7 linked regions of the Cricetulus griseus genome follow. The protein of the gene in region 1 purifies or fractionates together with the protein of each later gene. This does not show direct contact. Links are inferred from orthologs where the notes say so. Each region holds a gene or a part of one and is shown in the gene's direction. Other genes may lie near its edges. The genes, in order: Tubb, Lrrk2, Hdac6, Rictor, Arl2, Eef1a1 and Snw1.

Region 1 (4,296 bases):
TTGTCTGGATGTCTGTCTCTGCACTATCTGAGTGCCACATGCCTGCCGAGGGCGGAAGGGGGTGCCGGGCTCCCTGGAACAGGACTTACCCATAGTGGAAAGCCTTAAATAGTGATGGGAATCGAACCTGGCTCTTTTTCCGAGGACAAATGCTCTTAATTGCCGAGTCATCTCTCCAGCCCCGTGTGTGGTTTGTTTTCAAGACAGGCTCTCACTTTGTAGACCAGGTTAGCCTTCAGCGTACAAGAATCCTTCTGCCTCAACCATCCTACTGTGTGGGAGGTTGGACACAAACTAATTTTCCACTCATTTATTTATTATTTATTTATTCTGAAACTGGGTCTAAAGCTGTACCTCGGGCTGTACAGGAACTCTCTTAAGTAGCCCAATTGACCTTGTACTTCCTGAGATCTTCCTGCCTTGGAGTTACAAAGCAGGTGTTAACCGTGTGAACCACCCCTGCTGACTCTTAGAATCATTTTGTATCCCTCTTACACTTTCAGGATACTCAGTTTCTATCAAATGAAACCCTGGGAAAAGCTTCTGGGCTCTGACTCCCATTTCTCAGTTCCTGGACTCTGCCACAGCCTCCCGTAACGAATAGAACCAACCAACTGAAAACGACCACTTGGCTTCCTTCACCCAAGTGTCTTGAGAAGCATCCCATTTCATCGTCTGTATTGATAGGACGACCATGGTGTCTTCAGCGTGGTCCCAAAGGCCCAACCCCACCCCACCCCCGCCGCCGAGGTTTACAGCTTTCTCTCTCTCTCTGAACATCGGTCCCAAGCAACACTTCTAGTCTGAAAAATCCTTGCAATTTTGTTTCTCTCTCGAAACATCCTTGGGACAACTCCCTTAGGAGCCGGAGGGCCATCCTTTCTTCTGGAGGGATGCGAGGGAGTGCTGCTCACTGAAGTTACTGTCTTGGGACCACAAAGAACTAGATAGTAAGATCAGGGCAGGGTGCCACATTTCTCCGGACTTTCCGCTGAGCTATGCAGTCCGCCTTTACCAGAGCCACTGCGGTGGGCAGCTTGCAGGGCGCGCCCATCCCATCTCCAATTCAGGGCACCTCAGACATCCCAATTACCGTTAAGTCCCAAAACTTCTTAGAGCACAAAAACCTCTCTCAGGAACAGAGGATAGGAATCTCGTGCGAGGTCACTTTCCATTAAAAATAAATACAATCACACCCACACGAAAGGTACCCACTAAACCTCCCACAGTATCCACCCATGCCTAACTTCATATTGCAGCGTGGACAATAGAGAACTACAACTCCCAAAAAGGACTGCGCTCGCCACTGGCTCACAGACCAATGGTCGGCTGGCACGTGATCGGCGGATCTAATCAGCGGCAGGCTGGAGAGGCTTTGTCTGCGACCAGGGGCTCCCGCCTATCTCCCGCCCCCGGCTGCGCGAACGCGCGCCCCGCCCTGCGCGCCTTCCCTCCTGCGCTCGCCGGCCTCTTCTGCCTCTTAGAACCTTCCTGCGGTCGTGCTCGCATCTCTCTGCTGCAGCCTCCGGAGCCACGTTCCATCCCTTCAGCCTGAGACCAGCCAAAAAAAAAAAAAAAAAAAAAAAAAAGAACCAATTATCTTTTCTTGCTCGGTACCTACCTTGAAGCCAGCACAAATTTATTACAGTAAACCGTAGCCATGAGGGAAATCGTGCACATCCAGGCCGGCCAATGTGGCAACCAGATCGGTGCTAAGGTAAGAATTTTTAAATTGGTACCGGATACGCGTGAGGATGAGAAATCCAGGTTAATCATGATTAATGTTACCGGGTGTTAGCATTCTCCCTCCGCCGGCTTTGGCCCCTCAAAGTTCTGCGCGAACAATTATAACCCATATTTGTAGCTTGCGTTCTGAGAAATATTTATCTTGGCACATTTTCCGAAAGCCATTAAAAGAGACGCCTGGGTTTAGGGGACGGAGAGTCTGAGGAGGGACTGGAGTGCTTATCTAAAAGAGGGGATTTCTAACGGTTCGAGAACGGGAGAGGAGAGATGCGGAAACGATCCGAGACAAAGCCGAAGCGAGGTTTTCCCCTTGCGCCACCCCCACCCAGCCTGGAGGGCCTTAGCGGAGCAGGACTGGCGGGGGCAGGGGAGAGGTTGGGCGGGCAGCTGCAGAGGTCTCCGGGCCGCATCACCGCTCGACAAAGGCTTGGAGACCCTCGCGATCTCGCCATCCCCTGGCTCGCTTTTAGGTGGATGGTGATGATTCCGTGCGGGGGGCTCCTTTTACTTCATTGCCGTTAAGAAATCTTAGGGTGTGACCTGATGGGAAAGTGAGAGGTTTGTGTGTCTATAAGAGGTCCCTCGGGACTATGTGTGTGTTTGGGGGAAAGCTATTTAGGGAAGAGAAGGTAGCAAAAGCAAAAAAAAAAAAATCTGAGGCCATGGTTTTCTCTTTTTTTTTTGCGCGCAATTACAATGTAGCGGGGGATGGGTGGAGAGGAGGAAGTGCGGCCGCTAGATTGTAGCCGAAGGGTGGGACCCTTTGGGGGCGGGGCTAGCGCCCCTGGCGCGCAGGGACAATGCAGCCCTTGCTGGCGGGGGCGCGCTGGCCCCGCCCCTCGTGCCAGGCCCCGCCCACGCTGCTCCCGCCTTTGTGGGCTGCTGGAAGAGCGGCCCGCCACCGCAGTCACGTGGAACGCGTAAGGGGTGGGCGACTGCAGTGGCCGCACCTTCCTACCCCATCCCTCTTTTGTGCTGGCCTGGAGGGGCGGTGCCCACCCTGAAGCGCTTGGCTGGGTGCTGAGCCGAGGGGGCGGATGGCAGTTCAGTCAGCCCATATGGGTGCTTGCAACCCTCAGCCCCTTGAACTGTCCATCACTTGACCAGGGCCACAAAGGTGGCGACCTTCCCCGGTTGGAGGTTCGGTCGTGGAGGCTCGGCAGGCAGATAACGGAATTGCAGTATCAACCCGTCCGCCTCGTTTGAGCACGTCTAGAGTTGAAATGCGGGCGGGGAGGCATCCCTTAGGACTTCAGCCATTGAGGCCTGGCTCATTGCTCATTGCTCTGTCTAGTTCTGGGAGGTGATCAGCGATGAACACGGCATCGACCCCACCGGCACCTACCATGGAGACAGCGACCTGCAGCTGGACCGAATCTCTGTGTACTACAATGAAGCCACAGGTGAGGGAGGGAATCCAGCTTCTTTTTTCTCTGTTAACACTTATCCCTGGTCTTTTTAAACCCTGCGCCCTTCTGTTGAGACAGGGTCTCGTTATGCAGCCATGGCTGCCCTGGAACTTACCTCCCTAATGCTGCTTTTAAAGGCGGCCGCACCACGCCCTGTTTTCCCACGTTAAGTGCCTGTTAACCCGGTTGCTGGGGTCTCACCCTTTTCCATTAGACACCCACCATAAGTGGGCCAAAGATTAGCTCTGCTGCCGCCGGGTGGCAGTGCCTGGAATGGCAGTTTAGTGGTTTGTGGTATTTCCCACCCCAGATTTCATCCTCGCTGCAGAGGGCTCTGACAGTTCTACTTGAATCCCTGTAGGTGGCAAGTATGTCCCTCGGGCCATATTGGTGGATCTAGAACCCGGGACCATGGACTCCGTTCGATCAGGTCCTTTTGGCCAGATCTTCAGACCAGACAACTTTGTTTTCGGTGAGTTACATGGAATGAATTCCTTTGTACCCAAGGGCATGATTCCAGAGGTGAAAGGTGAAGATTAGTAATGATAATGACGTAATTTTTTTCCCTTCTCACCACATTCCAGGTCAGTCTGGGGCAGGCAACAACTGGGCTAAGGGTCACTACACGGAGGGAGCTGAGCTGGTTGACTCTGTCCTGGACGTGGTGCGGAAGGAGGCAGAGAGCTGTGACTGCCTGCAGGGCTTCCAGCTGACCCACTCGCTGGGTGGAGGTACCGGTTCTGGTATGGGCACCCTGCTCATCAGCAAGATCCGAGAAGAATATCCCGACCGAATCATGAATACCTTCAGTGTGGTACCCTCACCCAAAGTGTCTGACACCGTGGTGGAGCCCTACAATGCCACCCTGTCTGTCCATCAGCTGGTGGAGAACACCGACGAGACCTACTGCATCGACAACGAGGCCCTGTACGACATCTGCTTCCGCACTCTCAAGCTCACCACGCCGACCTATGGGGACCTCAACCACCTCGTCTCGGCCACCATGAGCGGGGTCACCACCTGCCTCCGCTTCCCAGGCCAGCTCAATGCCGACCTCCGCAAGTTGGCGGTCAACATGGTCCCCTTCCCACGTCTCCACTTCTTCATGCCTGGCTTTGCCCCTCTCACCAGCCGTGGGAGC
Region 2 (3,691 bases), on another chromosome or scaffold:
AGTTGGTAGAATGCTTGCATACCACACAGGAAGCCCTGGGTTCTGTCATCCTCAGCATCGGGTAAACTGGGTGTGGTGGTACATGGCTGTAATTCTAGCATGTTGCATGGAAAAGAGGACTGGAGGAGAGTCAAGGCCATTCATGGCTACAAAATGAGTTCAATACTAGCTTGGGGTATACAGAACACTATCTAAAAAAAAAAAAAAAGTAAGTATTTACCTTTCTTGCTTTCAGGTGGGTTGGTCACTTCTGTGCAAATTAATAGAAGTCTGCCCAGGGACATTGCCGAGCTTAATAGGACCCCAGGATATTGGAAATGATTGGGAGTTCCTCAGAATTCATCAGTAAGTATGACAGATGTGTGGAAATAAACTGCATTGAAGAATTATATATGACACCCTTTGCCATCCAAAACCATTCTGATAAATTCCTTCAAAGCAGATATAGTTTTCTTACATCGATAATTTATATTTATAGAGACCTTTAAACTCAGATTTATGAATTAGAAAACTAAAGTTGATGGATGGTACAATATTAGGTGAGATGACTTACAAACACAGTTCTGTGATTATGTAAATGATTAAATTGTATATCTTTGAGTATGACGTAAGACAAAGCAAGACAAGCTTTTTACTATTAATGGTGGAAATGAGAGAATCCATGAATTCCTTGAAAAACATGGCAACTAAGAAGTTACTTCTGACCAGAGGCCTTGAACAAGACCAGTGACTCTGCAATGAATATTTGCCATTAAGCTGATGGGACAAGGGGGGTGTACTACATAATACACCAGAGCCTCCAGTGTCACCATGGCAAATGAAAAGCTGTTTGAGAGGCAGGAAAGGAGAAGCAAAGAGATTTTTCTGTTGTTGTTTTGTTTTTGTTTTTGTTTTTTTGTTATTGTTGTTTTTGCTTTCATTTGCTTTCTTGCTTACTTTGTGTTATTTTTCTTTTGTGTGTGTGGGGGTGGGCTGCATGGCAGGGATGAAGAAAGGACATCGGGGGACTGGGAGGCAAGCAGAATTGGGGTGCATTATGTGAAACTCCCAAGGAGTCAATAAGAAGTTAAATTAAAAAAAAAGAAGCTACCTCTGTGAGCATTTATTATGCTCTACTGTCTTCATGTGCACATTTGCATGTGTCTGGGCATGCTAATCTCAGTGAAAGTAGACTGTGGCTTGCAAGAGGAAGAGAAAAGAGGAAATGAATTCCCTCTCAACCCTCTGAAGCCTAATCTAGGTGACTATTTATCATCCATTTGGTTGGAGTTCTCAACATAATGTCTTTCATAAGACCACATTCATAACCATAATTAGGTAAAACTTTTTGGAGAAAATTTATAGGAAATGTTCAGAGGAAAATCCTTTTAAAAAATAATGTAGTTTCTGGAGACTTATGAAAGTGTCTTGTCATTAGGTGCCCTCAGACCTAGAGCCACCATGATGAAGATATTATACTCCCAATGTTATGTTACTTGAGAAAAATATATTTTACTAAAAACTGAATTTTATAATCCTTTCAGAAAATTTATATGGGGTAGAACAGTGTGTCTATTCCTAAAGGAGTTATTATAGGCCTTGGTGTTTACATGTTTATCCACTTGTACTATATAGGTGTTGTTAGTTTTTAGTTTCTACCATCTGAAGAGAATGGTTTAGAAAAACAGCCAATTTCAAACTAATTTTGAAATTCCATGTGTCAGTTCTGTAACATTTAATAAAGACCTACCCATGGTATACTTGTAATTAGTCATTCTGATTTTAATGTCCCTTTTGTTTGAGGATTTCCAATTTTCTTCAAGTACAGTTAATCTTCAATATCACTCAGAGACTGTTGGAAATCTCACCTCCTTGTATTCCAGAACAAACCAACCATTTGGGGGGAATTGTGATACTATTTTGATGGGAAATATTCATGTCTTCACTCACAAATTCTCTTGCTTACCACTCAAGTCCAGCCCTCTACCTCCATGGGTTGTCTACACTCCTGCTTTAAGAGAGATCTGAGTTTGTGACCAAGGGAGAAACACTGCTCTCTACACTAGAATATTTTGGGAAAAATTTTGTAAGACGTTTTTCTCTGTAGCCAAGCTTTTCCCCTCCAAAATTGACCAATACCAAAGAGAATTCTGTAGCAGTCATTTGAAGGATGGTGAGCACACATTTTCAGCTCTAGCTGATGCTGTGAACCTGGAAGAGTAGAGCCTAAAAATGAGGCAAAGTCTCATGCAACAATCAACTTTATTCAGAGCATCATTCAATTTATACTCTAATAGTCAAGAAGAGTCACATCAGTATAGTATACAATCACAAGGACCAGCCACACATGGCAAAAATATGTTTTTTTTTTCATGGAGGCAAATAAACAAAGTAAATTCACTCTTTTCTGCTTGCTATACCTGAGAGGGACACAAAAACACACTCCAAGATGAATTCTGTGGTTTTGAAGACACCAAGGTTACAACTCTTGCCCTGTTTGCTTGAAGTTTTCTCACAAGCAATCAGAATTTGCCTTTCATGACTCCATTCTTGGCCTGTGTTCTGACAGAATGCAAGAGGGAGAAGCAGGGACAGAATGGGTAGAGAGATAATTGGCAAGATATCAACAGACCTTCACCTTGCTAGGAGACCAAAGGACATGTTTTGTGAATATAGAAGAGGCTGTGGATAGCACCAGCTCTGTCTTCTTCCAACAACATAAAACAAAATACCACCTGGCAGAAAATGATTAAAGGCTACATATGGAATGGGTAACAGAGATTAAAATCTAGTGAATCTGAGAACAGGTACTATTGATATGAGTTCATTATCTAGTGTGGAATATAACTTTATCAAAGATAGTAGCTAACAATAATTTTAATATTTAAGTAGATCCTGAAGGTTGTGTACAAATGAACGTCTTTATTCAATCTTCCTGTATGTTACTATGTCAACATGCATGACATATAATTCATAAATTCTTATGATGTATCTAAGACATCTCCTCTGGCTATGGATCATCTTCATGGTCCTTTGTGTATTAATGACTAAGTAGGGGCATTTGGAGGAATATAGGTGGGACTTGGCTTCTATCAAGACATAGAATAATACTTCCCTCCTAAGTGTCTTAATTTTTCCATTGTTGTGGGGCAATCCCCAGGCCTTGTATCTGGCAGGCAGGCACTCTGTCACTGAGCTACATGCAAGCATAAACATTTAGGTTTCTACTAAATGTTTCCCTCCAACTTTCCTGAGACATGGTTGATAGCTAGAAAAATGTATGTAGTCAATGCAATTAACTTGTTAATTTGATGCACAGAATCATGTGAAGTTTTTGCCACAATTGATGCAAACAGTATTCCTGGTTATTTCATTTTCTTATTTATATTTTTTGTATTGGTAGAGATTGAAACTGGGGTCTTGGGCATGCTGGGCAAGTGCTCTGCCAAGAGCTACACCACAAGTCAGGATGTTAATTTTATTAGCTTGCTTTTAGTTTGTACCAAGGGAGAATGTATCCCATGAACTTTGATGAACAGAACAAAGTACAGTAAGTATATAGGTGAGTGAGAAACAGTACTTAAATACTGTACGTGCTTTGCCCACATGTGCAGTCAGTGCTTTGTCCACTGGGAAGGCTCCTTGGCTTCTGCTGGATAACCTTTCATTGTCATATGATTTTGCTTTTTATTCTAGACTGATCCTCAAAATG
Region 3 (3,691 bases), on another chromosome or scaffold:
GCACATTGCGTCTTTTCAGCGTCAGTTTGTGTGTTGGTCCCTCTCAGCCCTACGGGCACTTTCTCACCTATGAAATACAAGTGGTAGAGGTGGCTTTGTGATATATTAAGGAAAAAAGAATGTCCTTACTGACTTTATGGCAGCCTTAGATAGCATCTTTTACTTTAGCTTTACACACAAAACCACGCCCCATCTTCCCTCATTCCTGGCCTTCTGCATCTCTCCACCTCTTTCAGTGGAATCACTAAGTTCCCCAGCATGGACTGGAGGCTCTTTGCAGCCCTAGCTGGCTTCTGCAGATAAGTTCCCCCAAGACTCCCATGAACCTCCAGTATTCAGTGTTGTTATTACCTTGGGATAATAACAGTGGCAGGAGTGATTAGAAGACATGACCTAGAGTTTCTCACAGGGTCATCATTGCCCAGGTTCTTGGGTTGACTCAGTAGCTCTTGAGACCTTAGACTTGAGTCTGAAATTGGGTGGACACTGAAGAGGCAGCAATATTTACTGACAGAAATTCTGGTGGGAGATCAGTCAATGTGTAGGAAAAATGGGTGAACCACGGGGGGTTAATGAATGGGGAAATGAATAAGTTGGTAAATGAATGGAAGGGTAAACTAATGCAAGACTTGAGAGTATAGATTGAAGCCGGGCGTTGGTGGCACATGCCTTTAATCCCAGCACTTGGGAGGCAGAGGCAGGTGGATCTCTGAGTTCGAGACCAGTCTGGTCTACAAGAGCGAGTGCCAGGACAACCTCCAAAGTTCCACAGAGAAACCCTGTCTCCAAAAACAAAACAAAACAAAAAAGTACAGATTGAAAATTGGAAAAACTTAGAGAATGAATTGAGTAGTTGGTAAAATCACCTTGTTGAATTAAACCCTGTAGCTGTAGGTTGGAGGCCTTAAGTTTGACTCTTCAATTTCCTTATTTTTTTCTATGCTGGAGATTGAGTTTCCACATGCTATGCAACCTCTCAACATTTCTTTTCTCTGCCTCTAGTGTCCTCTATTTCTCCATCCACCGCTATGAGCAGGGTCGGTTCTGGCCCCACCTTAAGGCTTCTAACTGGTCCACTACAGGTTTTGGCCAAGGCCAGGGATATACTATCAATGTACCTTGGAACCAGGTCAGTGTCTTCCCACCTGAAGTGAGCCTAGCCCTGCCCTCCCACCGACTCAAGAAAGGTGCCTGACTGTCCATCGTGTTTCTGTGTCTGCAGGTGGGGATGCGGGATGCTGACTACATTGCTGCTTTTCTGCACATCCTGCTGCCAGTTGCCTTTGAGGTCTTGGAGATCCAGGAAATTTAGGGGTGAGGGGCAACACTGAGGGATGACCTGTGAAGGAGGGTGTTCTCACATAGTCTGTTCCCTTCCTCAGTTTCAGCCTCAACTGGTCCTGGTGGCTGCTGGATTTGATGCCCTCCAAGGAGACCCCAAGGTAAGGCAGGTTCTCGGGTTTTAGGTAGGCAAAGGGGAGTACACTGGCCGGGTGTTGGTGGTGCACGCCTTTAATCCCAGCACTCGGGAGGCAGAGGCAGGCGGATCTCTGAGTTCGAGGCCAGCCTGGTCTCCAGAGCGAGTGCCAGGATAGGCTCCAAAGCTACACAGAGAAACCCTGTCTTGAAAAACCAAAAAAAGGGGGGAGTACACTGAGCTTTGTGTTCCTGCAGGGAGAGATGGCCGCCACTCCAGCAGGCTTTGCCCACCTAACCCATTTCCTCATGGGTCTGGCAGGAGGCAAGGTGATTTTGTCTCTGGAGGTGAGTAACTCACTTTTATCAAACTCTAGATCCTAAAGGGCTTAGAATTTTTATATTTGTTTATTCATTGTTTGTATGTACATGCACATACGCTATGCACATGTACCATGATGTATGTGGTCAGAAGACAACTGTGGGAGTTGGTTCTCTCCTTCCACCATGTAGATTCTTTTGGGGGATTGAACTTCGGTTATCAGGCTTGGTGGCAAGCCCTCTTATCCTCTGATCCAACTCACTGGCCCACTTGGAGGCTCAAGAACAGATCTTTTGGGCCTTGGGGATGGAGTTAAAAGGTAGAATGCCACAGGCGGTGGTGGCGCATGCCTTTAGTCCCAACGCTCAGGAGGCAGAGGCAGGCGGATCTCTGTGGGTTCAAGGCCAGCCTGGTCTACAAGAGCTAGTTCCAGGACAGCCTCCAAAGCTACACAGAGAAACCCTGTCTCGAAAAACCAAAAAAAAAAAAAAAAGGTAGAATGCTTAGCTAATATATAATATATGTAAGGGCTTCCATTCTTAGGACCACTGAAAACAAAACAAGAGCTTTCATGTATATAAGAAGTTCCTGGGGGCCAAAGAGATGCCTAGTGGTTGAGAGCACTTGCTGCTTTTACAGAGGACCTGGGTTCGATTCCCAGCATGGTGTCTTGCAAGTAGGCACATGTGTGGTACACATATACACATGCAGGCAAAACATTCATAATCATAAAGTTAATTGATTCTCAATTTTTTTTTGTTTGTTTTTCAAGACAGGGTTTCTCTGTGTAGCTTTGGAGCCTATCCTGGCACTCGCTCTGGAGACCAGGCTGGCCTCGAACTCACAGAGATCTTCTTGCCTCTGCCTCCTGAGTACTGGGATTAAAGGCAGGTGCCACCAACGCCTGGCCAATTCTCAAAAAAATTTTAATGTGCTTTTTTTTGTAAAGTTGTTCCTTGCTTGGCCTTACTTCTCCATAATTCCTTGGTGCCTCTGCTAATCACTTTACATCATTGTCCAGTAAATTAAATGATGTCACCATCTAGATTTCTTGTTGTTTGACATATAGTATGCACCCAAATATTGTTACTGTTATCAGTATCCTTCCCTGTTAATATATGGCCCTCTGCTTGCCTCCCCCAACAACTCCTTCCCCAGGGTGGCTATAACCTCCATGCCCTGGCTAAGGGTGTCAGTGCATCACTCCACACTCTTCTTGGAGACCCTTGCCCCATGCTGGAGTCCCCTGGTGCACCTTGTGCAAGGTAAGCCTGGGGGAAATGGGAAAGGAGAGCTCTTATTGCCTGCCTGGGGGCCGTTTCATCACATTTCTGCTTCCCTCACCCCCAGTGCCCAGACTTCAATCTCCTGCACGCTAGAAGCCCTTGAACCCTTCTGGGAGATCCTTGTGAAATCAGGTAGGAGGTGGGGGATGGGCAAAATCAGCATCAGACATGGAATAAGCTATTAGGAATATTCCCTTCCAGAACCCTTCTTTTTTGGTTTTTTGAGACAGGGTTCCTCTGTGTAGCTTTGGAGGCTGTCCTGGAACTAGCTCTTGTAGACCAGGCTGGCCTCGAGCTCACAGAGATCCACCTGCCTCTGCCTCCCTTGGACTAAAGCATGCGCCACCACCACCCGGCACCAGATCCCTTCTTGCTTTCCTGGGATGCCTTGGTGGGGATGGCTGTGTGGGTTTTAGGCCTTTTGTCTGGGCCACATTTGTCTCGAAATATGATGGGATCCAGATTCAGCAAGTAGGGTAATCTGAGCCCCTCTTTATAGTCGAGCCCCAGGAGGAAGATGAAGTAGAGGAAGACAGGGTGGAAGAAGAATATGAGGAAGATCGCTGGGAGGCTGCTGGACTGCCAATGGATACATGGCCAGTGCTACAGGATCGCACTGGGCTGGTCTATGATGAAAAGATGATGAGTCACTGCAACCTATGGGACA
Region 4 (3,691 bases), on another chromosome or scaffold:
TAGGCTGGTCTCGAACTCACAGAGATTCGCCTGCCTCTGCCTCCTGAGTGCTGGGATTAAAGGCATGCACCCCACCCCCCCCCAGCCTTCACTAAGATTTTTATGACTATTAGAGATGACTTTCTAATTGCAGGATGGGCAGGGATACTTGGAAGATCTCGTGAAAGATATTGTTCAGTGGCTCAATGCTTCATCTGGGATGAAACCTGAAAGAAGCCTTCAGAATAATGGTTTACTGACCACCCTTAGTCAACACTACTTCTTATTTATTGGAACACTTTCTTGTCATCCTCATGGTGTGAAAATGCTGGAAAAATGTAGTGTCTTTCAATGGTGAGCATTCTCACATTTTGTTGAAATGTAAACCTAAACTTTAGTTTTAATGAGTCCAGATACACAATATGCTTTGTAATCTGTGTACATGTGTTTGGTAAATACTTTTTCTCAGAAATATTTATTTATATAGGATTTTTAAAATATACGTTGAATTGTTTTCCCCTGCCCATTTTCTAAAATAGTAATCATCTGTGCTAATGGATTCATTATTGAATGTATCACCTAATGGGTAGCTGTGTATCTAATCAGGTTGTCTGCTTTGAATGTGCTTAATTTTCTGTTTGGCAGTCATATTTCAATTGAACTGGAGAAAAATGTATTGAATTAATGAATCAACACAATGATTTATAATAACTCTTCTTTTTTAGTCTTCTTAATCTTTGCTCTTTGAAAAACCAAGATCACCTGCTGAAACTCACTGTTTCTAGCCTCGACTATAGCAGAGATGGATTAGCTAGAGTCATTCTTTCAAAAATCCTCACGGCAGCTACTGATGTGAGTATAACATGGGAGATAAAGCTGTAGTTTCTAACCAGTAATTTAAGGCTAAGTCACTACAATTTTTAGTCTAAGTAAACTAAGAATATGGGGTGGAAGTTGAGTCAACCTTCATTTTAGTTGCTGTACTTACCTGACAAGGGATGTTCTGTGACCACAAAAATGGTTTTCCAGGGTCCATCCTACTCCACATATGCCAACCCCTGTGATTTCTCAGAATACAGGAAGTTTGATACATAATTTATGATAGTTGAGGATTACACTCACATATTCTCTTAGTACATTTTTTACTGTCTCAGAAGAACTTATTGAACCCTTTTAAGTCATAAGGATGGAGCTGCTAGCTAGAAAGGGAATATTTGTATCACATACTAACTATATCCTCAACTCCAGTCCTTCTGCCTTTGTAAGTAAAAGGGCTTTTTCAGGACAATACTAAATATCTATGATGACTTTTAATGTGCTCCTTTATCTCTCTAGGCCTGCAGACTGTATGCAACAAAGCATTTAAGGGTTTTATTGAGAGCTAATGTTGAATTCTTCAACAATTGGGGAATTGAGTTACTAGTGACTCAGCTACATGATAAAAACAAAACAATTTCTTCTGAAGCTCTGGATATCCTTGATGAAGCTTGTGAAGACAAGGTAAATTTGAGCTGTTTTGTTGATATAATGAAACATTTAGGCTGAATTTTATTCAAATACTTTTTATTTGGCAATGTTAAAAAAGTACAGCATGAATAAGCATTTTGAAACAGAGAATATGGTGTCATTACATAATTATTAACTTGATCATCCCTTTAGGCCAATCTTCATGCTCTTATTCAGATGAAACCAGCCTTATCCCACCTTGGAGACAAAGGCTTGCTTCTCCTCCTGAGGTAAGTATTAAGTACATTTCCTTGTGATATTCTTTATTGTGCCTTCTTGGCTATGTGTATTAGTAGATCCAAATCTGACTAGGAAATACTGTGAATTTATTTTAAAATTCTGAACCATGCCTATTTTAGAATTGAGCTAGTTTTTGTTTGTGTGCTTATGGTTAATATTCCTCTCATGTTTTTTCATGAAGTTTTCTATATTTTTGTTGGGCTCAGTCTGCAATTGTCTGCAATTGAAAAGTTTGTCTGCAATTGAAAAATGGAAGGTCAAGGACAATGTTGTTAGAATTTAAAAGACAAAAATCCCAGGGCAGACAAACTATAAAACCTCAACAGCTGCCCAGAGGAAGACAGTGGAGGAGAGAAGGATAAAAGGCCATACCTTAATCTGACATGGAGATCAGATTCGTGGCAAACAAGCAGCAACATGGTAGGGAGGGAAATGTCAGAGAAGGAGTGAGGAAACCCAGAATGCTGAGGAAACACACAAGTTTTAAGGAAAGCATACTTAGGAAAGAAAAAGAAAAAAGGGAAACATGAGATTTCTGAATTGCATAGATGCACAAGCTGCATGGTTGCAGTGCTATGGGCCTGAGAGCCAGTGATGGGTTTGGATGATGGCTGATGTGGCTTCTTCCAACTGAAAGGGGAGGAGCATCAGGAGTGGTGGTCAGGGTATTCCTTCAGCATGTCTATCTAAAAGCCATCCCAAAAATGCACCGGTCGTTTTATTTGTACAACCGTCAGATGTAGGGAGAAACAGAAGTCCTAGTGTTTGAAATTTGAGTAAATTACAGTTAACCTTTTTATTTTAGGCAGGGAAATATTCCAAGCTCTGTTTGTTTCCTAAGCATATTCTTTGTTACTTTAGATCTTTTCTTTTTTTTTAGACTCAGTGTTCAGCTATGATTTTTCTAATTTACAGATTTCTCTCCATTCCAAAAGGATTTTCCTACCTGAATGAAAGGGGTTATGTAGCAAAACAATTGGAAAAATGGCACAAGGTAACTTCTCATTCAATAATAAGATTTAATTGGTATTTATTTTTTCTTTGGAAATTCAAACCACTGTGAACTACATGAAACCTTATCTAAAACCAGACAAAAACAAATACTTCATATTGTCTTAGGGTCTTTATTGCTATGAAGAGACACCTTGACCACAACAACTCTTATAAGGAAAATTAATTGGGGCTGGCTGACAGTATCAAAGGTGTACTCTGTTATCATCATGGTGGGACATGTCAGTGTACAGTCAGAAATGGTCCTGGTGAAGGAGCTGAGAGTCTGCAGGCAGCAGAAGCAACTCTGTCCCAGACTGGGCATAGCTTGAACATATGAGACCTCAGAGCCTACCCACACAGTGACACACTTCCTCTGACAAGGCCACACCTACTCCAACAAGGCCACACCTCCTAATAGTTCCACTCCCTCTGGGCCAAGCATGAGTCTATGGGGGCCATATGTATTCAAACTACCACAAATGTGTAATGCTAAATTCTATCAATTTTATACTCATACATGTATACTTACCTACTTCCTAATTGTAGTGTGTTTGTTTTTTTCAATGCTAGATTGATTGGCTGATTGATTTTTATGTGTGGTCATGCATGTCATGGCAGGCACATGGACATCAGAGGACAACTTATGGGAATTGGTCCTCTCCTTCCATCCTGTAGATCTTAGGAATTAAACTCAGATCATCAGGCTTGGCAGCAAGGACCTTTACATGAGCCATTTTGTTGTCTCTATTTATTTTGATTGCACTCTATGGAATTTAACCTTGATTGTCTGTTTTTCTACTGTGATTTCTTAGACCCAAATAACCACCAATTGTTTTGTTCTTGGTTCCCTTATACAGACTGGCTTTGCTTTAGCCCTTCTATGCTAAAATAAAATTTTCCGAATGAGGAAGGCTGAAAACAGTTCTGTGTAAGCAATATAATCATCTGCTTATACTTTATTTTAGGGTACTAC
Region 5 (4,026 bases), on another chromosome or scaffold:
GGGGGGGGGGGAAGGCACAGTGGGCAGGACCAGCCTGACCTTCATTGTCCCTTCCTTCCCAGATTCAAACTGAACATCTGGGATGTGGGTGGCCAGAAGTCTCTACGCTCCTACTGGCGGAACTACTTTGAGAGCACAGATGGCCTCATCTGGGTTGTGGACAGCGCCGACCGCCAGCGCATGCAGGACTGTCAGCGTGAGCTGCAGAGCCTGCTGGTGGAGGAGGTGTGCCCTGGGTTTCCACCTGCAACCAAGCCAGAGACCTCTCACATGGGCCATGATTCACCAGGACACTTGGGGAGGGAGGAGGTCCCTTCCTTCTGGGCCCTGGGTTGAGACCTAGACTCACATCTCTTTGGTTTTACTGATTCACCACCCTGAGTTTCAGTCCCATCACTGCAGGAGCTGCCTCAAGACCAGGGCAGGGGGTGAAGCTCAGGGAGCGAATGAAGCTTGTATAGGAATCTTAACTGTGCTGTGTGGCTTTAGGAAAATACATAGCCTACCTGAGCCTCAACTTCCACATCCCTAAAGTTATAATTAGGCTAATGTTGACATTTGTTGTCTGGACCAAAACATGTTTTTTGTTTTGTTGACACAGGGCTTGTTCAACCATCAGAAGCTGGACTTGATCTCCTGATCTACTAGCTTCTACTTCCCAAATAATTGGGATTATTGATCTGTGCTGTGCCGCCATACTCCATTATTAGCTATTTATTTTGGCAGAGTTGATTTTTGGGGGGCGGTGGTGGTGATGAGATCATGTTCCCCTATGTAGCCCAGGCTAGCTCCAAACTCTCCATCTTCTGCCTTAGCTTCCTGAGTGCAAGGATTACAGTTGGACACTACTAAACCATGCTCAACAATTGCCATTATCTTAAGCTACAAGTTTTATTTGGTTTGGATACTGCCATTTCTCCATTAATGTGTGCTGTCTGTCTCAGGACTTTCATAATGCTGCCACGGTTAGGTGAAGGCCAGTGCACCGAAATGAATGAGACTGTAAGGCTAACAGACACATGCCACCAGCATGAGTGCGGCCCCCTCTGGAGTATTGAACAGGTCTAGAGAGGTTACTTTTGTTGGAGGCTAAGCCAAGGCCCAGCAGGGCTAGGCCCAGAAGTTAGATTTCTCTTTGCACATAGAGAGGTTCCAGTTGCAAACACACCAATGGCAATAAGTAGAGAAAAAGGCCAACAGGGCAGTCCACTGGGAGTACAATTTAAGGGTTCTGTGAACTGGGAGGAAGGGCAGGTGGATTTACCCTAAAGTCCCCAGGGCAGCCCGCAGCATGCTTATGCTTTCTGCACATGGTCAGAGCTATAGAGGGCTCAGGGATCATTGTGAGCAACACCCTCTCCCTGATTATGGGAGAGGAAACTGAGGCATGGAGGGCAGAGATGCCCACTGGGTGGTAGCTAGTTTCTGCACCTCTGTCTGCTTTGCTATCCCACCTGGGGCTCCCCGACAACCATGGGGCCCTGCTCCTGACCCTGCATGCTGACCAATGACCCCATGGCTTGCAGAGAAGGGATCGGGCTATACTCTAAGCCTCCCCAGCCCCAGCCCCATCTTGTCTTTCCCCAGCGCCTGGCTGGAGCAACCCTCCTCATCTTCGCAAACAAGCAGGACCTGCCTGGAGCACTGTCCTCTAACGCTATTCAGGAGGTGAGTCAAGCTCTGGTGCAAGCGTATGGAGTAAAACTGAAGGGTTATTAGTACTTTATTATCATTTTGGTTTTCCGAGACAAGGTTTCTCTGTAGCTTTGGAGGCTGTCCTGGAACTCACTCTGTAGACAAGGCTGGCTTCAGACTCACAGAGATCCGCCTGCCTCTGCCTCCCGAGTTCTGGGATTAAAGGCGTGTGCCGCCACCACCCGGTGTGCTTTATTATTTTTGGTTTTTTGAAACTGAGTTTCAGCAGCCCTGGCAGGTCTTAGACTTACTAGGATGCTAAGGAGCCTCTGAACCGTTCATCTTCCTGCCTCCACCTGGAGAGCACTTGGGATTAAGTTGTGAACCACACTGTCAGTTTCTGTGGTGCTGCTGTTTGTTCCCAGAGCCTTGTGCATGCTAGGCAAGCACTTTACTAATTGAGCCACATCCCCAAGCCCAGTCTTTTTTTTATTTTTTTATTTTTTTTTAAGCCCAGTCTTTTTTTTACTTACTTTTGAGACAGGGTTTCTGTATCCTAGGCTGACCTAGAACACACTATGTAGCCCAGGCTGGTCTCAAACTCAAGCAGTCCTCCTGCCTGAAGCTTTAAGGGTGTACCTCCATGTCTGGCTAATAATTGGTTTAAAAGCATGTATTAGCTCCTGCTGTGGGGCAAGATGTAGGCAGGGCACCCAGAATTTGATGATTAATAAGGTAGACTGGCCCCCAGTCTAGAAGCAGGCAGACCTGTAAATAGATCACTTCACAGGGTTCTAGCAGCCAGCCTGCAATGAGCGCTTCCCATCGCAATGCTGTCTGTGTGGATTCACATTATTCTTCGTTTATACAACAATCTCATGGGGGAGAAATGACTGTCACCATACAAAAGGTGCAGGAGACACAGAATAAGTAACCTCCCCAATGTCACATAGTAAGTAAACAAGCCAGGACTGTGCTTCATGCTGACCTAGCCCTGGAGCCATGGCTGCATCTAGCAGGCTTAGAATCTTGGTTTTTGTTTGAGACAGGTTTCATGTAGCCCCTCCTGCCTCCACCTCCCATGTCCTGCACTATAGGTGTGCACCACCATACCTTAACTAGCTGTGCGATGTGGAAGGTTGCAGAGCCTGAGTTTGTATTCCTTCCTTGGTAAAGTGGACCATGGTATCTATCTATCCATGGATCAGGAGGCCTTAGCAAGAGACAGATGACATCTGTGGTCCCTGCAAAATGCCTGGCTCCTAGCAGACACTCAGCAGCCCATGTTGACTTTATGTCACTGACGGTGGCACTGGTGTGCAGCTAGAGTCTCCCATTGGGTGACTGGGAAAGGACAGGCTAAGACCTGCTGGTTCCACAAGTCCTTTTGTCCCCAGGCCCTGGACCTGGCCTCCATCCGCAGCCATCACTGGCGCATCCAGGGCTGCAGTGCTGTCACCGGAGAGGACCTGCTGCCTGGCATCGACTGGCTCCTTGATGACATTTCCAGTCGTGTCTTTACTGCTGACTGAGCTTCTTCAGTGTCCCCTGCACACTGTCCAGGTCCCTACCCCTCATCAGACTCCAGCTGGGGGGGACAGACACCAGCCGACCAGACTAACACTCCCAACCCCGCCGTGACCTGCTGCTGCTACTGCTGCCCACTGCTGCTCCCCATCCCTATGCGAGGGCTGTCACCCCGGCTCCTGAAGTGACCTGCAGCTGCCATGCCAAAAGGAAAGGCTGGACTGGGAGGGACTACCCGCTGCTACCAAGGTCCTGGATGTCACCTCTGTCCAGCAGAGAGAATAAAGCACTCCTTTCCTGGTTCCTGGTTGAGCCATTTGTGTATCACTGACTCTGGCCCTCACCTGGAATGCTTGAATCCAGAAGGGAGAGATCAGAGCAGAGGTATACCTGTGGTTTTATTAGAGGAATGTGCAGAGCATGGAAGCTCAAGACAGGAATAGCTGGTTCCGTCTTCAAGAGACCAATAGACTTTCTGGAGGTTACATTAAAACAGGAATCAGGGAGGAAGAGAAAGGTTTGAGAAGAAGGTGTCGGCAGATCCCTAGAGAAACACCTGCCTTCATCAGTATAAATTACAAAAAAACAGACTCGTTCCCCACCCCAGCCTGGGGCTCACAGGTAGTTTAAATTCAGTTCCTAGCTTGACAGTGCAACCAGCAAAACTTGTGCAGTGGGCAACTTGCATAGCTAAAGAAGGACGGATCAGACAGATATTCCTAACAGGTTGAGTTGTTCAGAAAGTGGGAAGATGGGTAGCTATATCATTCAGGGATGACTACAACTAGCAGGGCCTCAACCGCCTAGCCAAACTGTCTTCAGTCACAAATGGCTCTACCAAGAGCTACCCACAATCCAGTACAG
Region 6 (4,226 bases), on another chromosome or scaffold:
TAAGAGTGCTTGCCTGGTGTGCTGAGACCCTCGGTTCCATCTCCACAACCCCATATTCCATTACAAAATACCTTTTCACCGTCCCTAGCATTAAGAAACAAAACAACAAAGAAGTTTTTCTTTCTTCTGAGATCCTGCCCGGAGAGGCATTTAAAACTGGCCAGGGCCAAAAAAAAAAAAAAAAAAAAAGAAAAAAAAGAAAAGAAAACAGGCTAGGGCCGGCATGGTGGCGCACGCCTTTAATCCCAGCACGCAGGAGGCAGAGGCAGGGCGGATCTCTGTGAGTTTGAGGTCAGCCTGGTCTACCTAGTGAGTTTCAGGGCACCCAGGGCTAAAGAGACTGTCTCAAAAACAAAACAGCCACACAATCAGAACCACAGCAAAACGCAGTTATGATCCTTGGAACTGTAGGAATGACAAGCATTTAAATAATAGGACGAGCCATTTTTGAGAAGCTCTGATTTCACAAGTGTCAGGGATGGGCTCTGGGCGAGTAAGATTGCTAATGCTGGCCTCTAAATGAGACCACGTGGAGTTGATTAGATTCTTTTCATGTTCCTCGTGCTCTATCAAATAACTGTACCCAAATACACACACACACACACACACACACAATGCGCGCACACACAAAATCCTTTTTTAGCTTAAGAAGCCCAGAATCAGAAGTAAAGCTAACTGTGGGACTTAAGTATTATTCTGAACGGAACTCCCAGGGCGTGAAGCGCGCTTCAGGCTTCCAGAGAAGCAGCTGGCGCTGGATGGAATGAACCAAGAGGCCAGCACAGGGGCAGATCCGTCGAGCTCTCGGCCACCGAGCTGAGCCCTTAGGTTCTGGGGCTGGGAAGGGTCCCTAGGATTGTGCACCTCTCCCGCGGGGGACAAGCAGGGGGATGGCGGGGCTGACGTCGGGAGGTGGCCTCCACGGGAAGGGACACCCGGATCTCGACACAGCCTTGGCAGTGGAGTCAGGAAGGGTAGGGACAGATTCTGGACGCCCTCTTGGCCAGCTCCTCACCGCCCCACCCCCGACTGGAGCCGAGAGTAATTCATACAAAAGGAGGGATCGCCTTCGCCCCTGGGAATCCCAGGGACCGTCGCTAAATTCTGGCCGGCCTCCCAGCCCGGAACCGCTGTGCCCGCCCAGCGCGGCGGGAGGAGCCTGCGCCTAGGGCGGATCGCGGGTCGGCGGGAGAGCACAAGCCCACAGTCCCCGGCGGTGGGGGAGGGGCGCGCTGAGCGGGGGCCCGGGAGCCAGCGCGGGGCAAACTGGGAAAGTGGTGTCGTGTGCTGGCTCCGCCCTCTTCCCGAGGGTGGGGGAGAACGGTATAAAAGTGCGGTAGTCGCGTTGGACGTTCTTTTTCGCAACGGGTTTGCCGTCAGAACGCAGGTGAGTGGCGGGTGTGGCCTCCGCGGGCCCGGGCTCCCTCCTTTGAGCGGGGTCGGGCCGCCGTGCGGGTGTCGTCGGCCGGGCTTCTCTGCGAGCGTTCCCGCCCTGGATGGCGGGCTGTGCGGGAGGGCGAGGGGGGGAGGCCTGGCGGCGGCCCCGGAGCCTCGCCTCGTGTCGGGCGTGAGGCCTAGCGTGGCTTCCGCCCCGCCGCGTGCCACCGCGGCCGCGCTTTGCTGTCTGCCCGGCTGCCCTCGATTGCCTGCCCGCGGCCCGGGCCAACAAAGGGAGGGCGTGGAGCTGGCTGGTAGGGAGCCCCGTAGTCCGCATGTCGGGCAGGGAGAGCGGCAGCAGTCGGGGGGGGGACCGGGCCCGCCCGTCCCGCAGCACATGTCCGACGCCGCCTGGACGGGTAGCGGCCTGTGTCCTGATAAGGCGGCCGGGCGGTGGGTTTTAGATGCCGGGTTCAGGTGGCCCCGGGTCCCGGCCCGGTCTGGCCAGTACCCCGTAGTGGCTTAGCTCCGAGGAGGGCGAGGCCCGCCCGCCCGGCACCAGTTGCGTGCGCGGAAAGATGGCCGCTCCCGGGCCCTGTAGCAAGGAGCTCAAAATGGAGGACGCGGCAGCCCGGCGGAGCGGGGCGGGTGAGTCACCCACACAAAGGAAGAGGGCCTTGCCCCTCGCCGGCCGCTGCTTCCTGTGACCCCGTGGTGTACCGGCCGCACTTCAGTCACCCCGGGCGCTCTTTCGGAGCACCGCTGGCCTCCGCTGGGGGAGGGGATCTGTCTAATGGCGTTGGAGTTTGCTCACATTTGGTGGGTGGAGACTGTAGCCAGGCCAGCCTGGCCATGGAAGTAATTCTTGGAATTTGCCCATTTTGAGTTTGGAGCGAAGCTGATTGACAAAGCTGCTTAGCCGTTCAAAGGTATTCTTCGAACTTTTTTTTTAAGGTGTTGTGAAAACCACCGCTAATTCAAATCCAACATGGGAAAGGAAAAGACTCATATCAACATCGTTGTCATTGGACACGTAGATTCAGGCAAGTCCACCACAACCGGCCACCTGATCTACAAATGTGGTGGAATCGACAAACGAACCATCGAAAAGTTTGAGAAGGAGGCTGCCGAGGCAAGTATTCGAAGGGAAAAGGTCGGGGGGGGTGGAAATCTACCGTAAGCAGGAAATTGTTTATTTAGAAACTAGATGTTTTGAGTGTACTAACTGCGAATCACTGAACAGATGGGAAAAGGCTCCTTCAAGTATGCCTGGGTCTTGGACAAACTGAAAGCTGAGCGTGAGCGTGGTATCACTATTGACATCTCCCTGTGGAAATTTGAGACCAGCAAATACTATGTGACCATCATTGATGCCCCAGGACACAGAGACTTTATTAAAAACATGATTACTGGCACTTCTCAGGTTTGTGAAATTTACTACCTTCTGACCCTTACCTCCAGCTGGAAAGCTTTGTTATTAACGGGAGGTAACTTTTTCTTAGGCTGACTGTGCTGTCCTGATTGTTGCTGCTGGTGTTGGTGAATTTGAGGCTGGTATCTCCAAGAATGGGCAGACCCGTGAGCATGCCCTTCTGGCTTACACCCTGGGTGTGAAACAGCTAATTGTTGGTGTTAACAAAATGGATTCCACCGAGCCACCTTACAGCCAGAAGAGATACGAGGAAATTGTGAAGGAAGTCAGCACCTACATTAAGAAAATTGGCTACAACCCTGACACAGTAGCATTTGTGCCAATTTCTGGTTGGAATGGTGACAACATGCTGGAGCCTAGTGCTAATGTAAGTGACTTGAAGAAGGTGGTTAAATGGAAAAGCTGTAAGGGGGGAGAGATTATAAAACATTTGGCTACTCTGCATTTCAGATGCCTTGGTTCAAGGGATGGAAAGTCACCCGTAAAGATGGCAGTGCCAGTGGTACCACACTGCTGGAAGCTTTGGATTGTATCCTGCCACCAACTCGTCCCACTGACAAGCCACTGCGACTGCCCCTCCAGGATGTCTATAAAATTGGTGGTAAGTAGAGCATTCGGACACTGGACTAAGATGTTTTGAGGTGTGTTCAGTTGTCTTCACCTTATATACTGTAAATGTTTTTAGGTATTGGGACTGTTCCTGTGGGCCGAGTAGAGACTGGTGTTTTAAAACCTGGAATGGTGGTTACCTTTGCTCCAGTCAACGTTACAACAGAAGTAAAGTCTGTTGAAATGCACCATGAAGCTTTGAGTGAAGCTCTTCCTGGAGACAATGTGGGCTTCAATGTAAAGAACGTGTCTGTCAAAGATGTCAGACGTGGCAACGTTGCTGGTGACAGCAAAAATGACCCACCAATGGAAGCAGCCGGCTTCACTGCTCAGGTAAACAAGATAGGTGTCAAGAGTGTAATATTGATAGCAGCATGCAAAACCTGAAGGCAAGATTTAACCAAATGCTGTTTCTTTCAGGTGATTATCCTGAACCATCCAGGCCAAATTAGTGCTGGCTATGCTCCTGTACTGGATTGTCACACAGCTCACATAGCATGCAAGTTTGCTGAGCTTAAGGAGAAGATTGATCGCCGTTCTGGTAAGAAGCTGGAAGATGGCCCTAAATTCTTGAAATCTGGTGATGCAGCCATCGTTGATATGGTTCCTGGCAAGCCCATGTGTGTTGAGAGCTTCTCTGACTATCCTCCACTGGGTAAGTAGAACTTAAGTTTCTGTTGCACTGAGTATTGTTTGGATATGAAATGCTGTATGAACAAGTGCTCATAACTGTTTCTGTGTAGGTCGTTTTGCTGTTCGTGACATGAGGCAGACAGTTGCTGTGGGTGTCATCAAAGCTGTGGACAAG
Region 7 (3,691 bases), on another chromosome or scaffold:
GATGATTAAAACAGTGGGCCCTCTACCCAAAGCACCTATTGTTAGTTGTTTTCCATAAGTGTGTAAGAAGTGTGAGAAATGGAAATTTGAGTGGTTCTCAAATTGGGTATGCACTAGGCTAATGTTAGGTGATGACTGTAGCTCTACTGAGCTGACTTACTTTCTGCTTTCACTTCAGGGTTACACAATTCCTCTGGATAAACGGCTGGCTGCTGATGGAAGAGGACTTCAGACTGTACACATAAACGAAAATTTTGCCAAACTGGCTGAAGCGCTATACATTGCTGATCGGAAGGTTGGTCGTTTACAGTTTGCCAAACGTTCTTGTATCTGTGAGTCCGTATTTTTCCCCCTAGTCCTAGAGAGACACTAACTTGTGTGTGTGCTGATGACAGCAAGAACTAGCTACAACTCAGTAGAGAGCTGCACCCAGCAGTGGTGATGGCTTCCTAGGCTGACCTCATTTTGTGGAGACTGCCAGATACTGTTGTACATCGTTTTCAATGTAGATGATAGGTAAACATTGTGATTAAATGCTGCACTAATGGTATCAGCTACTGATATTACAAAGAAGTGCTATATTAATGTGCACACGTACATACAAGTAAGGGGGCTCTTATTTTGTATGTGTTTTTTACTAAAGTCTTTCAGATAGAGGTGTAGGTTTTGCCATAAGGTGAAGGTATACTTAAATTTTTGGTGGGTTTTGGTTTTTTAAAACAGGATCTGACTAAAGTCTTCAGACGTAGACTAAGGTTTCATCTTAAGATGAAGTCATACCTAAATTTTTGGTAGGTTTTGGTATTTTGAGACAGGATCTTGAGTTTCAAGCTCAGGCTATGTTGGAACTCATTGCAATCCTTCTGCCTCAGCCTCCTTGAGTTCTAGGTTTCAGGTATGCATTACCATGTCCAGATACATTTATTTATTGATTTACTTACATTTTGAGACTGCTTCTCACTGTGGTTCTGTCTGTTTTGTTTTTGGGACAGGGTACATAGCCCTGGCTGTCTTAGAACTCATTGTATAGACCAGACTGTTTATGGCCTGTGTCACCATGCCCAGCAGATTCTAGTCTGATTTTATACCTGTGGGCTCAGATGATCATCTCTGCTGGGATTACTGGTGCTCAAACTTCAGGAAGGCAATTTGAATATAGCTGTAAATATTTATACTATGATATGTTCCACTCAACATTTCACTTCATTAAACAGGCTCGTGAAGCTGTGGAAATGAGAGCCCAAGTGGAGAGGAAGATGGCTCAAAAAGAAAAGGAGAAACATGAAGAGAAACTTAGAGAAATGGCGCAGAAAGCCAGAGAGAGGAGAGCTGGAATCAAAACCCATGTGGAAAAAGGTGCGACAGTCTCATTTTGAAATTTACTTGGTATCTCATTTTAGAATGTCTCCATGTTTTATAGCATACAAAAGTAGAGTGTATAAGAAAAATTTAGATATTTCAGAAAAACGTAGAAATGGGATGTGACTTCTTCCTTATTAAGCTGAACTAGAAAAAAATGAAGAAATACATATTTGAAATGGATCTTCCATATGGAAGTATACTAGAAATTCTTGGTTTTGATCAATCTACAGTTGGTTCTCTATATCTCTAGGATGCTCAGCCACAGACTGAACTAGTTATACATTGAAAGTATTTAGGTTGGGCAGTTGGTGTCTGCATCCAAATTATGCAGGCCTCTTCCTGCCATTATTCCCTACAAAATATGGACTGTCCATTGTGTGTGTGTAGCATTTTTATGTAAGGGACTTGAAAATTCACCCATCAAAGTACACATGGGGTATTGGTGGAGGAACCAGTCTCTACAGGATATTATAGGACAATTACACTTTTTTCTTTTAAAAAAATCTTTTAGCCAGGCAGTAGTGGCACATTCCGGTTCTTAGGAGGCAGAGACAGGCGTATCTCTGTGAGTTTGAGGCCAGCCTGGTCTACAGAACTAGTTCCAGGACAGCTAGGGCTGTTACACAGAGAACTCCTATCTCAGGAAAAAAAAAAAAAAAAAAAATCAAAAAGAAAACAAAAAGAAATTTTTGGCATAGCCTGGCTGTCCTGGAACTTCATAGAGATCCAATTCAAAAGCAACAGGTCAACCCCACAATAGTCCTGGACTCATCTTGCCCGACAGGTCAGTATTGTAGTATGTAGGGTCCAGCACTTGAAGAAGGATGTCATTGTTTCTTACCACTGAGTAGTACTCCATTGTGTAGATGTACCACATTTTCTTTATCCATTCTTCAGTTGAGGGGCATCTAGGTTGTTTCCAAGATCTGGCTACTACGAATAATGTTGCTATGAACATAGTTGAGCAAATGTTCAACATCCTTAGTCATCAGGGAAATGCAAATCAAAACAACTCTGAGATTCCATCTTACACCAATCAGAATGGCTAACATCAAAAACACCAATGACAGCTTATGCTGGAGAGAATATGGAGAAAGGGGAACATTCCTCCATTGCTGGTGGAGAGCACACACTTGTACAGCTGCTGTGGAAATCAGTATGGCAATTTCTCAGAAAATTAGGGGTCAACATAGGTCAAGACCCTGCAATACCACTTTTGGGCATATTCCCAAAGGAGGCACATTCACATCACCTTATTTTTTTAAACTGTCTCTTTGCTTAGAGCTCATGCATTTTGCTCGGCTGGCTGGTGGCTTCAACAAGAACCTGTACATGGTTCTTTTTTTCCTTCCACTGGTGCGGTGTGCATGTGTATCTGTTGATGGGTATATCTATATGCACATGTTCAGCTGGAGCAAGAGGTTGACATTGACATTGCTCAGTCACTCTCTACTTTTATTTTTGAGCCAAAATCTCACCAGTTGGCTGAGTAGGTCTGTTTTAGAATCACATGCACCCCACCATGTCCAGCTCTTTACCTGGCTGCTAGAGATCCAAACTCCGTGATTGGACAGCAGGTACATTACCAAGTCAGCCCTTTATGTTTTATCGTGACAGCTTTCAAACATAAGGAAGAACTGAAAACTACTCATGATGAACTCCTGCCTCACTTCACCTAGATGCAGTGGTTAATTTTGAAAACAATTCGCATGCCAGGTGGTGGTGGCACACATCTTTAATCCCAGCACTCAGGAGACAGAGGCAGTCGGATCTTGAGTTCCAGGACAGCCAGAGCTATTATACAAAGGAACCCTGTCTCAAAAGAACAATTAGCATTACTGAATTTTCTTCTTCACCTGTATGCCCACCTTTCCACCTCTTGGGTGCATTTCAAATAAGTTGAAGGCAGCTGACATAGGAGTACACAAACTGATTGGATTTAAATTGACTGCAAGTAACCCTTTAAAGGCTGAGTGTGACCACAGAGAAGTGGTCGTGCACACCCATAATCCCAGCAGCAGGGAGGTGGGAGCAGGAAGATCCAGAGTTTGAGGCTAGCCTTGGCCATATGATGCCCTGTCTCAAAAATAGAAAAGTATGGCATTTTTTAAGGTTAAAGGCCTCCTAAGCAAAATATGACTAGCTAATGCAGTGATGATCTAATTTTCAACTGTGTTCACAGAGGATGGAGAAGCACGTGAAAGGGATGAAATCCGTCATGACAGGCGGAAAGAGAGGCAGCACGACCGGAACCTTTCCAGGGCAGCTCCTGATAAGAGGTAGGTCGATGCTTGGCATAATTGCGCGTTAGGAAAAAGGACATTTCTGT

Evidence for each region.
Region 2: the proteins of Tubb (region 1) and Lrrk2 purify together in Homo sapiens (co-immunoprecipitation; 5 studies listed by BioGRID and IntAct, with this or other methods). This does not show direct contact. The link is inferred for Cricetulus griseus from reciprocal best matches to the Homo sapiens genes TUBB and LRRK2.
Region 3: the proteins of Tubb (region 1) and Hdac6 purify together in Homo sapiens (affinity purification with mass spectrometry; 4 studies listed by BioGRID, with this or other methods). This does not show direct contact. The link is inferred for Cricetulus griseus from reciprocal best matches to the Homo sapiens genes TUBB and HDAC6.
Region 4: the proteins of Tubb (region 1) and Rictor purify together in Homo sapiens (affinity purification with mass spectrometry; 3 studies listed by BioGRID and IntAct, with this or other methods). This does not show direct contact. The link is inferred for Cricetulus griseus from reciprocal best matches to the Homo sapiens genes TUBB and RICTOR.
Region 5: the proteins of Tubb (region 1) and Arl2 purify together in Homo sapiens (co-immunoprecipitation; 3 studies listed by BioGRID and IntAct, counting the BioPlex papers as one, with this or other methods). This does not show direct contact. The link is inferred for Cricetulus griseus from reciprocal best matches to the Homo sapiens genes TUBB and ARL2.
Region 6: the proteins of Tubb (region 1) and Eef1a1 fractionate together in Homo sapiens (co-fractionation; 3 studies listed by BioGRID). This does not show direct contact. The link is inferred for Cricetulus griseus from reciprocal best matches to the Homo sapiens genes TUBB and EEF1A1.
Region 7: the proteins of Tubb (region 1) and Snw1 purify together in Homo sapiens (affinity purification with mass spectrometry; 3 studies listed by BioGRID and IntAct, with this or other methods). This does not show direct contact. The link is inferred for Cricetulus griseus from reciprocal best matches to the Homo sapiens genes TUBB and SNW1.

Annotation. Positions count from the first base shown.
Region 1 is NW_023276806.1:229,740,776-229,745,071, reverse strand, and holds the start of Tubb (tubulin beta-5 chain), read left to right. Parts: upstream 1-1,474; 5' UTR 1,475-1,660; coding exon 1,661-1,717; intron 1,718-3,040; coding exon 3,041-3,149; intron 3,150-3,516; coding exon 3,517-3,627; intron 3,628-3,739; coding exon 3,740-4,296. UniProt on the Homo sapiens protein: Tubulin is the major constituent of microtubules, a cylinder consisting of laterally associated linear protofilaments composed of alpha- and beta-tubulin heterodimers.
Region 2 is NC_048595.1:388,196,236-388,199,926, forward strand, and holds part of Lrrk2 (leucine-rich repeat serine/threonine-protein kinase 2), read left to right. Parts: intron 1-235; coding exon 236-345; intron 346-3,675; coding exon 3,676-3,691. UniProt on the Homo sapiens protein: Serine/threonine-protein kinase which phosphorylates a broad range of proteins involved in multiple processes such as neuronal plasticity, innate immunity, autophagy, and vesicle trafficking.
Region 3 is NC_048604.1:114,403,133-114,406,823, reverse strand, and holds part of Hdac6 (histone deacetylase 6), read left to right. Parts: intron 1-1,002; coding exon 1,003-1,129; intron 1,130-1,222; coding exon 1,223-1,288; intron 1,289-1,382; coding exon 1,383-1,442; intron 1,443-1,674; coding exon 1,675-1,764; intron 1,765-2,896; coding exon 2,897-3,003; intron 3,004-3,088; coding exon 3,089-3,156; intron 3,157-3,523; coding exon 3,524-3,691.
Region 4 is NC_048595.1:340,504,565-340,508,255, forward strand, and holds part of Rictor (rapamycin-insensitive companion of mTOR), read left to right. Parts: intron 1-133; coding exon 134-333; intron 334-704; coding exon 705-831; intron 832-959; exon of another isoform or gene 960-1,112; intron 1,113-1,314; coding exon 1,315-1,479; intron 1,480-1,638; coding exon 1,639-1,715; intron 1,716-2,640; coding exon 2,641-2,719; intron 2,720-3,691. UniProt on the Homo sapiens protein: Component of the mechanistic target of rapamycin complex 2 (mTORC2), which transduces signals from growth factors to pathways involved in proliferation, cytoskeletal organization, lipogenesis and anabolic output.
Region 5 is NC_048596.1:53,202,273-53,206,298, forward strand, and holds the end of Arl2 (ADP-ribosylation factor-like protein 2), read left to right. Parts: intron 1-62; coding exon 63-225; intron 226-1,560; coding exon 1,561-1,668; intron 1,669-3,032; coding exon 3,033-3,167; 3' UTR 3,168-3,474; downstream 3,475-4,026. UniProt on the Homo sapiens protein: Small GTP-binding protein which cycles between an inactive GDP-bound and an active GTP-bound form, and the rate of cycling is regulated by guanine nucleotide exchange factors (GEF) and GTPase-activating proteins (GAP).
Region 6 is NC_048597.1:189,545,508-189,549,733, reverse strand, and holds the start of Eef1a1 (elongation factor 1-alpha 1), read left to right. Parts: upstream 1-1,354; 5' UTR 1,355-1,387; intron 1,388-2,331; 5' UTR 2,332-2,365; coding exon 2,366-2,509; intron 2,510-2,620; coding exon 2,621-2,800; intron 2,801-2,879; coding exon 2,880-3,176; intron 3,177-3,259; coding exon 3,260-3,410; intron 3,411-3,494; coding exon 3,495-3,751; intron 3,752-3,838; coding exon 3,839-4,073; intron 4,074-4,161; coding exon 4,162-4,226. UniProt on the Homo sapiens protein: Translation elongation factor that catalyzes the GTP-dependent binding of aminoacyl-tRNA (aa-tRNA) to the A-site of ribosomes during the elongation phase of protein synthesis.
Region 7 is NC_048598.1:116,346,188-116,349,878, forward strand, and holds part of Snw1 (SNW domain-containing protein 1), read left to right. Parts: intron 1-178; coding exon 179-295; intron 296-1,214; coding exon 1,215-1,356; intron 1,357-3,544; coding exon 3,545-3,641; intron 3,642-3,691. UniProt on the Homo sapiens protein: Involved in pre-mRNA splicing as component of the spliceosome. As a component of the minor spliceosome, involved in the splicing of U12-type introns in pre-mRNAs.